Linked DNA regions of Schizosaccharomyces pombe. The protein of the gene in region 1 interacts with the protein of each later gene in a biochemical or structural test. Each region holds a gene or a part of one and is shown on either strand. Other genes may lie near its edges.

Region 1 (8,946 bases):
GCGTTTTCCTCAGCGAAAGTCTCTGATATGTACTTGTCGGCTGATGAAAGAAACCGGCTCGAGGATTTTAGCAAAGGCGACAGAGGCCTTTCATTTGTTAACCTTTCTCCAAATATAAAAGCAACGTCTTACGATCGATTGAGCACAGTAATAAATGAACCCTTTATTTCAAGAAGTTCTTCCTTGACTGATGAACGGGGTTTGGCCGATTCGGGCAATTCCTATCATCATTTCTCCGACTCCGACGATGAATCACTATTCAATGATGGATTGGGCCTTTCTTTTCATGCCAATAGTGCAATTATTAAGCAACGCCAGCAAAATGTTGCATCAATTCAGCGTTACGGTAATGAAAGTTACTTATCAAATTTTTTAAAAGCTTTTCTTCCGAAAACGGTTTGCGACTATCTTTTTCCTTCTTCTACTATTCCCGATGGACTTCCCGCTTTAATTGAAAACTTCAATGCGCGAGTTGATAAGGTGAATCATCCCGGTGGAACAGAAGAGCCTCTTCCTTACCAGGGAAAGTCGCGTGCTTCTTCTGTAGTTACCTCTTCCAAAAGCACATGTATTTTACCACCTTGGATTCTCTTCTCTGATTCATTTAATCAGCTTGTATGTACTTTTCTGGGAAAATTACTCTTTCAAATGCTAAATGATGAGGGTGTGGATTCGCCTATGCAATGGGTACTTTGTCTCCCAAAAATTCTTTTAAAAATGGCTTTGGATCTAGGTCCTGATATTCGCTCTGGTGATGATATTGATGTCCGCAGCTATGTAAAAATAAAAAAGATTCCCGGGGGAAGCATTCAAGATTGTTTTCTTGTTAATGGTGTTTTGTTCTCAAAAAAAGCTTCGTCCAAATCTATGGACCGCTCGCTTCGTCGGCCTCGTATAGCTCTTTTAACTTTCAGTTTAGACTACGCTTGTGACGAACAGAGAATTTTATCCTTGGATTTAATCATCTCTCAGCAAGAAGAGTATATTATAAATCTTGTCAATAGAATCTGCATGCTTAAACCGAATCTAGTTTTTGCTCAGGGTCAAATCCCCAGTATTGCCTTGAAGTACTTTGAAGAACATGGCGTTATAGCCTTTCATGGACTTAAAGAATCAGTTTTATATGACATAGCTAGATGTTGTCGTGCAGACATAATATCGTCAATAGATAAATTGTCGCTTTGTCCTCGTCTTGGTACTTGCGGCAGGTTTCAACTCAGAACGTATGTTGTCGATGAAAACAAAGGGTTGAGGAAAACGTTTGCTATACTTGATCGCTGCTCGGAACGTTTAGGCTGCACCATAGTTCTAAGAGGAGCTGATTATAATCAGTTGAGCAAGGTCAAGAAGATTGTCGAACTTGTTGTTTTGATTGCATATCATATCAAACTTGAATGTGCCTTGTTAAGAGACAAATTTGTGAATATGCCGGAGCTTTTTGAAACAACCTATCAAAGTTTGTCTAGGAAATCGTTGCCTTCGTTTGCCTCTACTGCAGCTGATAAAGAGAAAAGCCAAAATCATGAAAAAAAATCTCTGAACAGTGATAATCAAAGTTTGCGACCTTTGGAAAATGAAAATCAAAGTGTTTCTAGCACCCAAGGTAGCAACAGCCCGCTTGAGTTGATCAATAACTTACCAGCCTCAGATGACTATTCTTCTATTACCAAGGCTTTGAAAACCAGATTTTTAACGTTTTCACCCTTTTTATCAAAGCCTCTTCCACGTTTATTAAACCAAGTTAATTATTACCAGTTTATTCGTAACAAATTACTGAAAGATGTGAAGTTACATCCATACTCACCAACTGGCTCATTCGTAATGAAGCAGTCCGAAAATGACAATGTAGAAGAAAGTTACGAAGAGTCCTATAAATTCTTTTGTATTGATGAACGTTATCATTTTTTAGAAAAGCAGTGGACACTTTATTACTCTCATTCAAAACTCATGTTTTCTCCATTTTCTTCTCAAAGGATTATTTTGTTATATTCCATTATTAACAAGGAAACTTCTGTTCCTTGTATTGGCCCTGAACGTTGTCTATTAGAATTTTATCGAGAAACTGATTGCACTCTTGGTCAGTACATAGAGGACTCATGCTTGAATACCAATGTAAGTTGTGGAGGTGAGTATTGTAAAACGAATGATATGCTGTGGCATTACAGGAGTTATGTTCATGGAAATAGTCGGATCAGCGTTTTTTTGGAATCTTTTTCGTGCCCTGTCCCTGGTTTGGAAGAAAAGATAATTATGTGGAGTTACTGCAAATTCTGTAAAAAGAATACACACATTACTGTTATGTCTGAAGAAACATGGAAATATTCGTTTGGAAAATATCTTGAATTCATGTTCTATAATTCTCAAATAAGGGATCGCTTCGAATTCTGTGACCACAGTGTTATGGCACAACATGTTCATTATTTCGGTTATTGCAACATGGCTTTACGATTTCAAAGAGACCTAATAGAGATTTTTGAACTCTTCGTTCCATCGGTCACTTTACGAAATAATCCATCATATATTAAAGAGCTGAAAGAAAAGGAGTATAAACGTTTAAAAGGTGTCATTGAAAAATGCTTGTCTTCTGTTGCTTCAAGGATAAACCAAATAAAGTGCGATTGGGTTACTGATCCTGAGAAATTTGAGTCTTGTACATCTGAAATTTCAAAATTTCGCACTTTACTTTCAAGTGACTATACTGAATTGTATTCTGAATTTGATTCAATTTATCTTAATTCCTCAACTTCTGATTATTTATCACTAAACTCAATCCTGCGCGTCCTCCAGGGTAAAATGGTAAAATGGGAACAGCGCTTTCTTGACTATCAACGGCTGTATCTTCCATCTTACAAAGAGTTAAGTAAAATAGCAGCCGCTCAAATTAAGAAAGTGTTTCTGGAACGTCCATTAAGCCAAACCCCTTTAGATTTGCCAGAGACACTTGAGAATACTCAAATTGATATATATCCCTCCTTTAAAACTGAATCCACTGATGATCAACTCGAGAAAGTTACCCAAACTAATGTTGCTTCAAACAAGCGTGTTGCTCCGTATGCAGATAGTATGGCAAATGTTGGTTCTCCAGAATCTGATTGCTTTTCAGTAGCAACATCTTCCGATATTCCTAAAGCCAACATCGATTTTACCAATGATATTTCTACTCAGAACACTTTTCCAGCTTCTCCGGTCTCAAATTCAGGTTTCAGTAGACAAACGTATCCAAATATAAGCCAAAGACAAGGCGTTAATATGCTTTCTCATAAGCGGAAAAGTGCTAGTACCAGTGACAGGCGATTTGTCAATGCATCTTCAACAAGTGGGATGAACATGCCTATTTCTTCTTCAATATCTGCAAAAATTTCCAGTATACAGAATTCTACAAAATACTCACCCAGGAAGCCCATTCCAGCAAAAGATGTGCGGGTTAGCTCTTTAGTGCGTAGATTTGAAGAGCTAAGTTTACAATTACAAGAAAAGCAAAAACGAGATGAAGAATTAATAAAGGCTCGACGCAAGCGGGCTCTTCCTGTAGTCCCATCTAAGCCGGTAGTAGAAGTATTTAATGACCTTAATGAAGCATTTGATGATGAAAATTCCGAAGATGAGAATGGCATTAATGACACAAAAGAAAATCGCGCTACCGAAAGCAATTTTTCTGGAGTTGATTCTATGAGCAAGGAGCGAGAAAATGTTTCTTCGAATGAAGACAATTCACCTGAAGCGTTTGAAGATATTTTTGGAATTCTTTTCAAAAATGAATCTGGCCTCGAAGAACAGCAAAACCTTGAACCTTCTAGTCAAATGGATAAAGAGGGATCAAAGTTGCCAACTTCTGGTCCTTTGGCTGACAAAACTTCAGTTTACAGGATTTTATCTGCATTTTGGAATGAATGGAACTCCCTCAATCCTCCACCTTTTGAATTTCCTCTACAACCTACAGAGCATATGTTTTCCGACTCAAATGTGATCATAAGGGAAGACGAACCTAGCTCCTTGATAAGTTTTACTCTTAGCTCTCCTGACTATTTATCAAAAATGGTAGAAATTGAAGATAGCATGGACGAAGCTTTAACCAATCAAGGCTTACAAGGCTCGACGCAATTCAAAATTGAAAACTTAATGCTCAAACCAACGGGGACGCATTTGAAATACCAGTTTGAAGAAGGATCAGCAAGACTATCCTGTAAGGTCTTTTTCGCGGAACAATTTAGTGCTTTGCGAAGAGCTTGTGGCTGTGAGGAGACGTTTGTGACATCTCTAGCGAGATGTTCTCTTTGGGAATCTAGCGGTGGAAAATCTGGATCAGCATTTTTAAAAACTTTCGATAAGAAATACATTCTCAAAGTTCTGTCAAGGTTGGAAAGTGACTCCTTGCTTAATTTTGCTCCAGCTTATTTTGATTACATATCTAAAGTTTTCTTTCACGAGTTGCCAACTGCATTGACTAAAATCTTTGGATTTTACCGCGTAGACATTCGAAATCCTACTACTGGTACAATCTGTAAGACTGATATAATGATTATGGAAAATGTATTTTATGATGAATGTCCGTCTAGAATATTTGATCTTAAAGGTTCCATGAGGAATCGACATGTAGAATCTACAGGGAAGGTAGATGAAGTATTGCTTGATGAAAATTTGGTTGAACTTATTTACGAATCTCCAATATTTGTTAGTGAACAACTAAAAAGTCTTTTGCATTCTTGCCTTTGGAATGATACATTGTTCCTCTCAAAACTCAATATCATGGATTACTCTTTAATTGTTGGTATTGATTATACAAAAAAAGAACTTTATGTTGGAATAATTGATTTCATACGAACATACACTTGGGACAAAAAACTTGAAAGTTGGGTAAAGGAGAAAGGCTTAGTTGGTAGAGGTCCTGAACCAACAATTGTTACTCCAAAGCAATACAAAAATAGATTCCGAAAGGCTATGGATTGCTATATTTTAGCATCTCAGGATTTTGAGACTGGGGAAGGTTTTAAGTTTTGCGAATAGAAGAAACGTTAGTTTAATGTATATATTTCGCTGTTTGGTCAAGAAATATGAACAATCTTTTTAATCCCAGTATTTGATAGACCCATCAACTATAGATGATGTAGCTACCTTGCTTGTTTCTTGAGGGTGGAACGCCATGCTTTGTACGGGTCCACTATGAGCCGGGAGTTTAGCCATTAGCTTACAGGTTTTCCAATCTAAAAATGTTAGGTGTTTTTCCAATTCCAAGCACTTACCCCAGAAACAGGCATTTCCGCTCGAATCTCCGCTAAAAACAAATCTCCCTAAAACTAGTTAGAAATTCGTAATAAAAAATGAACGCCATACCATCAGGTGAAAATCCAACTTCTAGGCTATAACCTGAACAACTGTATCCCTTAAAGACCTTCTTTTTGTTTTGTCTATATTTCTCGTATGCCGAATATACGTAAATGCAGTTATCTAGAGATTGACATGCTATCGACTTTCCATTTGGCCGTAAGGCAACCCGAGGCATTGAATGCATTGCAATGTCAGCCACAAATTTTATAGGAACTGGAGTTCCGTATTCCCAAAATCGCATTGAAGAGTCATCAGATGTGGTAACGAAGCGCTTTCCGTTTTCAAGGAATGTTATGGAATTGATTCCGCCGAGATGATGATCGTATGCTTGAACAATATCAGGACTTCTGATATCAAATTGAAGGATCCTTTTGTCAGCTGTTCCTGCTAAAAACTCGTTGGGTTTATCAGGATCTACTTGGAATTTGACGCAGTTTGTTAATCTATCTGAATTAAAGCAGTTCAAACATTTCCCTAATTCGGTATCCCAGAGTTTAATTGTTTTATCAAAACTAGTACTTAAGAATGATCGTCCATCTTGGCTAAATGATAAATCGCGGATAGGACGAGCGTGTCCTTGGAATGTACGAAGCAAAGAACGGTCATGGTAAACTTCCCAAATCTAAATATTAGTTTATCATCTTTTTGCTTACAAACATACCTTTATCTGATTATCCATTGAGCCAGAAAGAAGTAAATGGCCACTAATCGGAAAAAACCTAAGGCAGGAAATACCTTTCGTATGACCTTTCCAAGTGAATATATGCTTCTTTGGAATGTAACAAGTTTGTTCACCAGGCTCTTCCGATAAATTTATTCCGACGTCATTCGGGACATGCATATAGCTTCTATTTTGATAATCAAATAATCTATCTTTATGAAGTATAGTCTCTTCTTTAGAGCGATGAGTTTCAACTTCTGGAGTAGCTAATTGTTCCTTCAATAATTCATTTTGACCCAGGTTATTAGATTCCGTATCCTTTTCACTTTTGACATCCAGGGATTCAACCTCTTCATATTCACTGTACTCCAAAGGTGAAGAGGATTGTTCAGAACCGTATCCGGCCCATGGCCCCTTATAAGCACCATCCCCTTCAAGGATAGATGGATCGCCAGGATCCTCTCTACGTTCTTTTATTTTCTGGGACTTCCTTTTTAAATCTGTAGAAGTAGTAGCTTCGTTATCATCAAAATTTCGTTTTCCATAAATAGCATGTGTATTAGCATAATATTCTTGATTAAATACAAAATTTGGAACATATTCCCTCTCAGCATAACCGGTAATACTGTTCTTTATAGAATCCTGTTCTTTAGTGACAAATGGATTTGCAGGCCCTAAAGCAGGCTGCACCATTTCATTAACCGGGACATTACGCGCTAATTCTCTAGAGTTTCCTCCCTTTGAAACAATTAAATCATCCTTTACCTAAAATGATTAGCATGTTATAAAAAACATTTGATAAATACGTTATCAACCACAGCTGGCGCTAAATTTTCAGTATGCAGAAGAGGTTGGATGTTAGGCGATTGGGAATTCTCCTGTTCTTCTGAATCACTAGAATAGTTTGCAACCAACATAGAAATTGCAAACGGCGAATATGAAACCAGCAAATTCGTATGGTAATGGTTTAAGGAAGATTAAGCTGTAGGGAGGTTTAGCGAGGATGAGAGATTCCTGGCTAATATCAATTAGCGAAAATGAAACACTACAGCTAACTCATACTTCTGCTTATTAGGATAGGTAATAGATAATTCATTGATTAAAAAATAAAGGAATGTAGTAAAAACTAGAAATAAAGTTAGTTATTTAAAGAGGCATGGACTTTTTTAAACTGTAAAAGAAGTTATCCAGTAGTGCATATACACGACGTATGATAAATAGTATTTAATTGAAGTTTGTTTGCTCACATAAGCTCATGACTTTAAAAATTTCATTTTGGTACGATAGTTTACCCCTTTAGTAAATTCATTTTCTAGTGTACTCACAGTATTTTTTGTGTTTGCAAGGCTAGGACAGAGAACCTGTGTAAGTCTAATTTTTTGAAATTATAAATTTTTTAAGAGTTTTTGTTGATTAAACTTTTTCTTGAAGAAAGCTTTGAAAAGCAAGCTTTGTCAATTCAAATTCAAGAATTGGTTTAGTAGATTTAGCTTCTAATTTAACGAAGGGCTTTTGGACATCATAAAGGGTTACTTTGTTACTTTCAATTGTACTAAAATTAAAAGCGACGCACCTATGCATCCTCAGTTGTGAAAACAGCATTCTGGTTTCTGAATTTTTTCAATAAAAAGAATTTTATGTTGAAAAAATGTGGATAATTGAGGCTGAGGGTGACATTCTAAAAGGTATCTCTTACTAGCTATATCAATTTCATTATGGCCGTATTGTACGTACTAAACAGCAGGAAAATCACGGATACTATTTCCAGGAACTTATATTGTAGGTCGAAATGTATCTGGTAAGTTTCTTATTTTTGTTAATTTTCTAATATTGCAGACGATTCGTCCCACATTCAAGTGATTTCTAAATCAATTAGTAAACGCCATGCTCGTTTTACGATTTTGACCCCAAGTGAGAAAGACTACGTACGTATCCAATTAAATGGAAATATTGAGCTTTTCATTTTTCATTTCTATTATATGTTTATCTTTCTTATATTTTAAATCAATGCCAGCTAATATGTGCACAGTTTACCGGTGGCCCATGCGAGTTTGAAGTAAAGGACCTCGATACGAAGTTTGGAACCAAGGTTAATGAAAAAGTTGTTGGTCAAAATGGTGATTCTTACAAAGAAAAAGATCTTAAAATACAACTGGGTAAATGTCCATTCACGATAAAGTAAGTTTTATCGACTATATATGATTTACTAACTTTAAGTGCATACTGGAGAAGTATGTGTATACAATTCGATAACCCTGAAATGTTATCCCAGTGGGCTTCAAATTTAAACCTCTTAGGTACTTCGGTCTTTTTTTTTTTCACTTCTTATCAACTTTCAGGTATACCGACTGGACTACGCGATAGCGATGCTACTACCCACTTTGTTATGAACAGACAAGCTGGGTCCAGTATAACTGTTGGAACTATGTATGCTTTTCTTAAAAAAACTGTAATTATAGATGATAGCTATCTTCAGTACCTATCAACTGTTAAAGAATCCGTAATTGAAGACGCCAGCCTAATGCCAGATGCGCTTGAATGTTTTAAAAATATCATAAAGAACAACGATCAATTCCCGTCATCTCCTGAAGACTGCATAAATTCATTAGAAGGATTCAGTTGCGCCATGTTAAATACGTCGAGTGAGTCCCACCACTTATTGGAGTTATTGGGTTTGAGGATATCGACCTTTATGAGTCTTGGGGATATAGACAAGGAATTGATTTCAAAAACGGATTTCGTTGTATTAAACAACGCAGTATATGACTCTGAGAAGATTTCTTTCCCAGAAGGTATCTTTTGTTTAACTATTGAGCAGCTATGGAAGATAATCATTGAAAGGAATTCAAGGGAACTAATCTCAAAAGAAATTGAGAGGTTAAAGTATGCTACTGCTTCTAATTCAACCCCCCAAAAAATTATTCAACCCCAACGCCATATCCAAAAGAACATCGTTGATG
Region 2 (5,870 bases), on another chromosome or scaffold:
AAAGCTAGTATGTCTTCAGACAGTTTCCAACGGCAGCTAGTTCAGCGAACTAATACTTTAAATTCGTCTATTGACAATGCTACACTAACTATTTTGTCAAGGTTTCAAGACATACTGGATATTGCTATAAATGAAGGCAAAGATAAATATACGGTAGCACCAGAGGTTTACCAGATTGAATGCCATACTGTGTCCATGGTTCGCGCGGTAGAACAGTTACTGGATGTTTCTCGACAAATTAAATCATATTGGCTCACTAATTCTCTTTCCACGTCTTTTCCGACTGTCGATTACAGCGAGCCTGATCTTGAGAAAGTTAAAAGAACTCTTACTAAACTACAAAATCATTTACTGGAAGTCAGTTTAATTGAACCAGAAGCATCAGAAACAACTGAGGCTCCCACTGTTTCTGACACTTGAGTTAACTCACATAAATTATTTTTTGCCAATTAAACCAAATGTCAAAATTTAATGATACATCTATCTGAAAAATAATAGTTTGCCTAAATATTTCATTATGAAGGAAATCACTTAAGTTAAAGAGCCAAAATCTTACTAAATACGAAAAGCCTAATGGAGGAGCACATAATTAAAGGATTAAAAATTGGGTTAACCCAACCGGAGAATGGCTCCATTTGAAGTACTAAACAACAACTGGTGTAACTCATTTAACCAAACCAAATTAGAAATAGAGGAAACATGGGTTTGACTCATACATCTCCAAGACTTTGAAGATTTGACATAAATATGTACATAGAGAGTCTCCCCATCCGAACTTACCAAAAGTTGACTAGTAATATCTAATGACACTGCTGCGACTTTGGTTTGTAGGGGTATTTTTTGAACAAGCTCAGATTTTCTTAAGTCCCAAATGAAAATGTCAGAGTCATCATTAGTTGTTACTACAAGCCAATAACCGTTTTCACCAAATTGTAATGTTTTAACTGGACTTGAATGTGGTCCAAATTTTGTAAGCTCATTTCCCGAGGAAGTCTCAAAAAAGCGTAACTCGCCATTCTCTAACCCAGCGACAAAGAGGTTACCGTCCGGATGTACAGCAAGAGATGTAATGTGTTGAGCAACGGTGATATTATAAACCTGGGATTTCAGGGAGAAAATATAACACTTTTCGTTTGATGCTGCTAATAAATATTCCCCACTTGGATGAGCTTGAAGGAAGTTCACCTTTTCGTCTATAGGAATGGACGAAGTAGGTTCACCCACACTTTGTAAACCAGATGAGGAAACAGGAAATTCAAAAATTGAAATGGCATCAGCAGTAGCGACAGCAATCTTGGAAGAAGTCAACCAACAACACGCTAAAGCTGATCCTTCAAAAATTTTGAGAGTACTGTTGGATTGGATATCTAGACATAAAAGTTCATCCTTATGAAGACATAATACAAAAGAAGAATTTTCAGGGGACGGGAAGAAAGACGTAGTGCTTTCTGTTTCCAAATTTTCTAAGATAGTAGAAGGAGTAGCTTGCAAGAGCTGACTCACAGCATCGTCAGTCGCCCATTTAGGTTGTAACTTTGTACGTTTCCTTTTGGAAGAAAGTTCTTGAAATGTTTTTTCCACCGTAGAGCGTAAGCTAGTTTTAAGCTGGTCATCACTTTCGCCCATCTCTACCTCTTGTACTTCAATAGTTTTCGAGGAAACAGTGCCTATGTTATCGGAAAATTTCGCCAATGCTTCTCTAGCTTCGTCTCTTTCTTTGGTAAGCCGAGATATAACTCTTAACGCAGCATCTAGCGAATACAATGCCGTTGATAACTCCTGCTTCGTCTCTGTAAGATTTCTTCTAAGTTCAAATTGCTCAAGCGCGACAGAATCCCATTCTTCTTGAAAGAGAGACAGCAATGCAGGCAATGAAGTGGCAGAAGGAGGTCGAGGTCTAACAAAATCAGGTACTGTTTAAAGGTTAGCAATTATCTTCGATTTGATTCGCTTTATATGTGAATGGTCAGTACAATCAAAATATAGTAAATATAAATCGCATTGGAGAGCAAAAACCAAAAAAAATCTAAAGTATTAATACATTTTCCTCAACAACTCCACATTAATTTTGATAAAGATTTGTTTTGATAAATCCGACAAGGTTGTTCTATAATTCTCTAAAAACCTTCCTAATTTCTGCCCCGAGATATTGACATGCACTAAATAGTCCACTTTTTAAGGAGAAATATAAAGCTGTAAAATTAAAAAATTTCGAGTACAAATCAATCATGCAATAAAATACATTATCAACAAAAAAAAGAAAATAAACGAGTTCTTCAACCAATATTGCAGGGTTTTACTTTCCAAACCAATTTCAGAATATTCAGTACTCCACGTATAAAAAAATAAGTGCTACTTGAAATTCTTAACCATTCAATAATAAAGAAGGAAATCTTACCCTTTACAGGAACCAAGTCCTCCAACGTGCATTCCTGTTGAGTAACAGGGTCTTTAGACGTTTCACGAATAACTTGTTCAATCAAGCGCTTCTCGTAAACATTTCCTACATTCAGTCAGACAGGGAAATTATTGTACAAACATACCACTTACACGAGAAATCACCGGTTCTTTTGGCGTTTCTCCACTGATTGAGCAAAACATTCGGCACACGTTGGTTTCTGTGTGTAATAGCTAGAGGAAAGCAATGCATAGCCAACTAATCGTTTACTGCACTATACCAATATCCGTATATAATATAAGGCAAATGCGATGCATTTTGCAAATAATTTTCTAGTTAGTAGTGCAAATGTACGTACAAGGCATAGTAGGGTTTCAGTACCTCTCGTCTTCATAAATCTACTGGACCATTACGAGACTGGATAGAATTGGAGATAATTTACTTAAAATCACTACAGATTCCCATAAATTGTCCCTCTCTTCTAGCTACTCACGAACTGTTGCATCATGGATAATACATCTCTACTAACCCGTGGAGGTGAGATTTACAGCAGGAAGAAAGGGAAGAAGCAAAGATTGGAGGAGATCGTCTTTGATAAAGAGAAGCGAAAGTATGGATATCATAAAGGGATTGCTACTAACTTGTTACAGAGAGTATTTAACTGGATTTCATAAACGCAAAGTTGAACGACGAAAGCATGCTCAAGTTCAATTGGAGCAGCAAAAACGCGAAGAACGTTTAGCGTTGAGGAAATCTGTAAGTTTTTCTAATACTATCTTGAGTATATCACTAACACTATTCAGCTCAGAGAACAGCGCAAAAGAGAACTGGCTGAGCGATTAGCATTCTCTAAAGAGTTGAATAGCTCGCTAGAAAATGATGAAGAATCTTCACAGCAAGAAGATTCCTCATCTAAATCTGACAGCGAGGAAGAGTCATCAATGGAGCCTAAAACTACTGAGTATGACGAAGATGATAAGCATGTTACGGTAGAAATTGTAGAGGACGATGATGATGAAGAAATTGCTTATCCTAAAGAAGGTTTTGTCACGCCTCGTATTTCTCCTCCACCAGATGTTCCTTTGCGTCCCCACAAGCCTAAAAATGCCGCCAAAAAGAAATTTCGGTATGAGAGCAAATTTGAACGTACACAGGACAGAAGAAAAGAAAAAATACGTCGTTTAAAGAAGAAAATAAGACGTTAAATTAGGAACTTCAAGCACACGTTGTTTGACGCATCTTGCCCTTTTTTTATATTTATGAATATGGTTGGTATAAAATGATATTTGAATTCAATTGTCCATTCGTTTTTCAGGTTGAGAATTTTTGGAAGTTAACAAACTACTTTACAAGAGATCATTACATATACGGAGTTTTTCTTGGTCTGATATATGCATTTCAGCCTTTTTCAATTTTTTGTTCACAGTTTTGATTAAGGTGTTTGTACATGCGCAAAAAATTTGTACTCAATAAGCGGTAAGCTAGATTTTAGCACGATTTATATTTTTTTATTATGTTTAAAACCCGTAAATTTTAGAGATACTCTACATTTATATATTCCTTTGGATTTTAGTATATTAGCGAAATTCACTAGAATACCGAGTTTGATCTTTGTCAGAACACAAACCACGTCTGGTAATGTGGTAAACAAAAAAATATTAAAAAGAAGACTGCAACAGCTTTTATTTCATTAGCGTTGATCATGTTCTCAATAATAACATGTCTTCTTCAATAAACGGATTAAATGAGAGTGAAGGGTCAACGCCTTTAAGCACTGCATCTATCATTGGCTCAAGTGAGCAATTGTACATGACTCATGATGAACGATACCTAGACGTCCTTCAACAATACGAAGTTGAGACTGAAAATAAGCGTGACTTTGATTTGGAAGAAGAACAATGGGGCGTTCTTAGTGGCTCTTGTGTGGATGGAACTTACTGGAGTGCAGAAGAAAAAGAACTGTTTTTTCAAGCGGTTGCTCGAAATGGGAAAAGAGATTTAGATTTGATAGCTTACTCCATTCCTTCTAAAAGCGCTGTGCAGATCGAGCGTTACATAAATGCCTTAGAGAATGAGCTACGTTGGCTTCGTAATCACGTAGACGCATCCGTGCGCAGTCAATGTTTGTTGAAATATGAAGATATACCTATTGCAATGGAAATGAGTCAGAATTGGATTGATTGGGAAGAAAAAATTGCGGAAAGACTTCTTGAGGGTTCGAATATCTCAGGGGTTGAAACTTCACACTATAATGCGCAAAGTGTCAAAAACAAAACCTCAAATGAGGATTTATTTGATACAAATGAGATGAGAAAGATTTCTGAACGGTTTTATCATTTCGATCGACAAGCGCCTTTTCCAAGCAATCCACTTTCTGCTGGCGCTACGGAGTTTTTATTACAAATCATTAAAAGCAAGTTGAAGGAATTAATCGGAACATCTATATTTTTGGCGGAGTCTAGGTTTAGGAAACTAGAGGCTAACAATGCCTTTCATAGAAAACCTATTATCAAGAATAGAGACGTTGTTCTGTCAGGCAAATTTTTACGATTTCACCGATTCAATATACCCGGATTTTGGAAGTATTTACCCACTAGACAAAAGATGAATGTTTACAAAAGAAACAAACGTCTCAAATTTCAAAATTATATACACATAATGGAATCTGATGAAAGACAATCAAAACTGAAATTAGGACGAGTCAGAGCACGGAAGACAAAAAATAACGAAAACACCATGTTTTTTGATTCTAAGGAACATTCGACAGATGAAAGCGATGGTAACCTTGGAGAACATGATGTAAAGCGCAAGGTAGATTCTGTACCCGCCGATGAGACTAGCATCAATGGTTTTAAGAAATCTGTTAATCAGGCTGAGTATCCTGATAATGCTCAAATGTTCATGGATGAAAGTGTCGCAGAAGAAAGTCTTGTGGAAATTGATGACAGCGTCGAAGCCTACGACATGATTCAATCCAAAAACTACGAAAGCTTTGTTTGGAAATATGTGCTGCATTTAACCGATGAGATGTCGACAGAGGACGCTCTTTTTGAAACTATACCACTTAGTAATTTGCTGGCTCAAAAGCGAATGAAAGACAAGTTAAAAGGTTCCGACGTGTTTACGACTCTTAAAATAACTTCCAAGAGCTTGCACAACATTGACGAACATTCCGATAGTGATGATGAAGTTCAACCTATATGTTATTATTACAAGGATCCAGTTGTTTCCCATGCCCCGGGTGCAGCTGAAGTCGTATCTGAACTTGAAAGCGGATATGTAGGGTTAATATCCTATGATTTGTCTAATCTTCCAAATAGTACAGAAGATCCTGAAAGGAAACTTGCAAAACCTGTCTCTTCTTGGGAGTTGTCACTCCCTTTAAAATAGATGTCTTCATTTTCGAACTACAGTCTTGAAGCCTTTACAAAAACATAAATTGTTTTTTAGCGCTGCCTCTGTGTTGGATAGC

Evidence for each region. The genes of interacting proteins can lie anywhere in the genome.
Region 2: the proteins of prp17 (region 1) and prp19 form a complex in vitro, tested with the Schizosaccharomyces pombe proteins (one study listed by BioGRID).

Annotation. Positions count from the first base shown.
Region 1 is NC_003423.3:2,649,603-2,658,548, reverse strand, and holds the start of prp17 (Prp19 complex WD repeat protein Prp17), read right to left. Parts: upstream 6,956-8,946; 5' UTR 6,904-6,955; coding exon 6,793-6,903; exon of another isoform or gene 6,752-6,792; coding exon 5,987-6,751; exon of another isoform or gene 5,948-5,986; coding exon 5,332-5,947; exon of another isoform or gene 5,289-5,331; coding exon 5,241-5,288; exon of another isoform or gene 5,202-5,240; coding exon 5,065-5,201; 3' UTR 5,005-5,064; coding exon of another isoform or gene 1-5,004. Other genes in the region: 1-phosphatidylinositol-3-phosphate 5-kinase Fab1, read left to right, coding at 1-5,004; Mre11 complex BRCT domain subunit Nbs1, read left to right, coding at 7,635-7,671, 7,731-7,784, 7,823-7,911, 8,016-8,164, 8,204-8,283, 8,326-8,946.
Region 2 is NC_003424.3:5,129,973-5,135,842, reverse strand, and holds prp19 (Prp19 complex subunit, ubiquitin-protein ligase E4 Prp19), read right to left. Parts: upstream 2,621-5,870; 5' UTR 2,602-2,620; coding exon 2,544-2,601; exon of another isoform or gene 2,504-2,543; coding exon 2,399-2,503; intron 2,060-2,398; exon of another isoform or gene 1,914-2,059; coding exon 610-1,913; 3' UTR 501-609; downstream 1-500. Other genes in the region: srb6 (mediator complex subunit Med22), read left to right, coding at 10-420; rRNA exonuclease Rrp17, read left to right, coding at 2,905-3,008, 3,049-3,154, 3,202-3,603; RNA polymerase I upstream activation factor complex subunit Rrn5, read left to right, coding at 4,118-5,788. UniProt on the Schizosaccharomyces pombe protein: Probable ubiquitin-protein ligase involved in pre-mRNA splicing. May also function in DNA repair.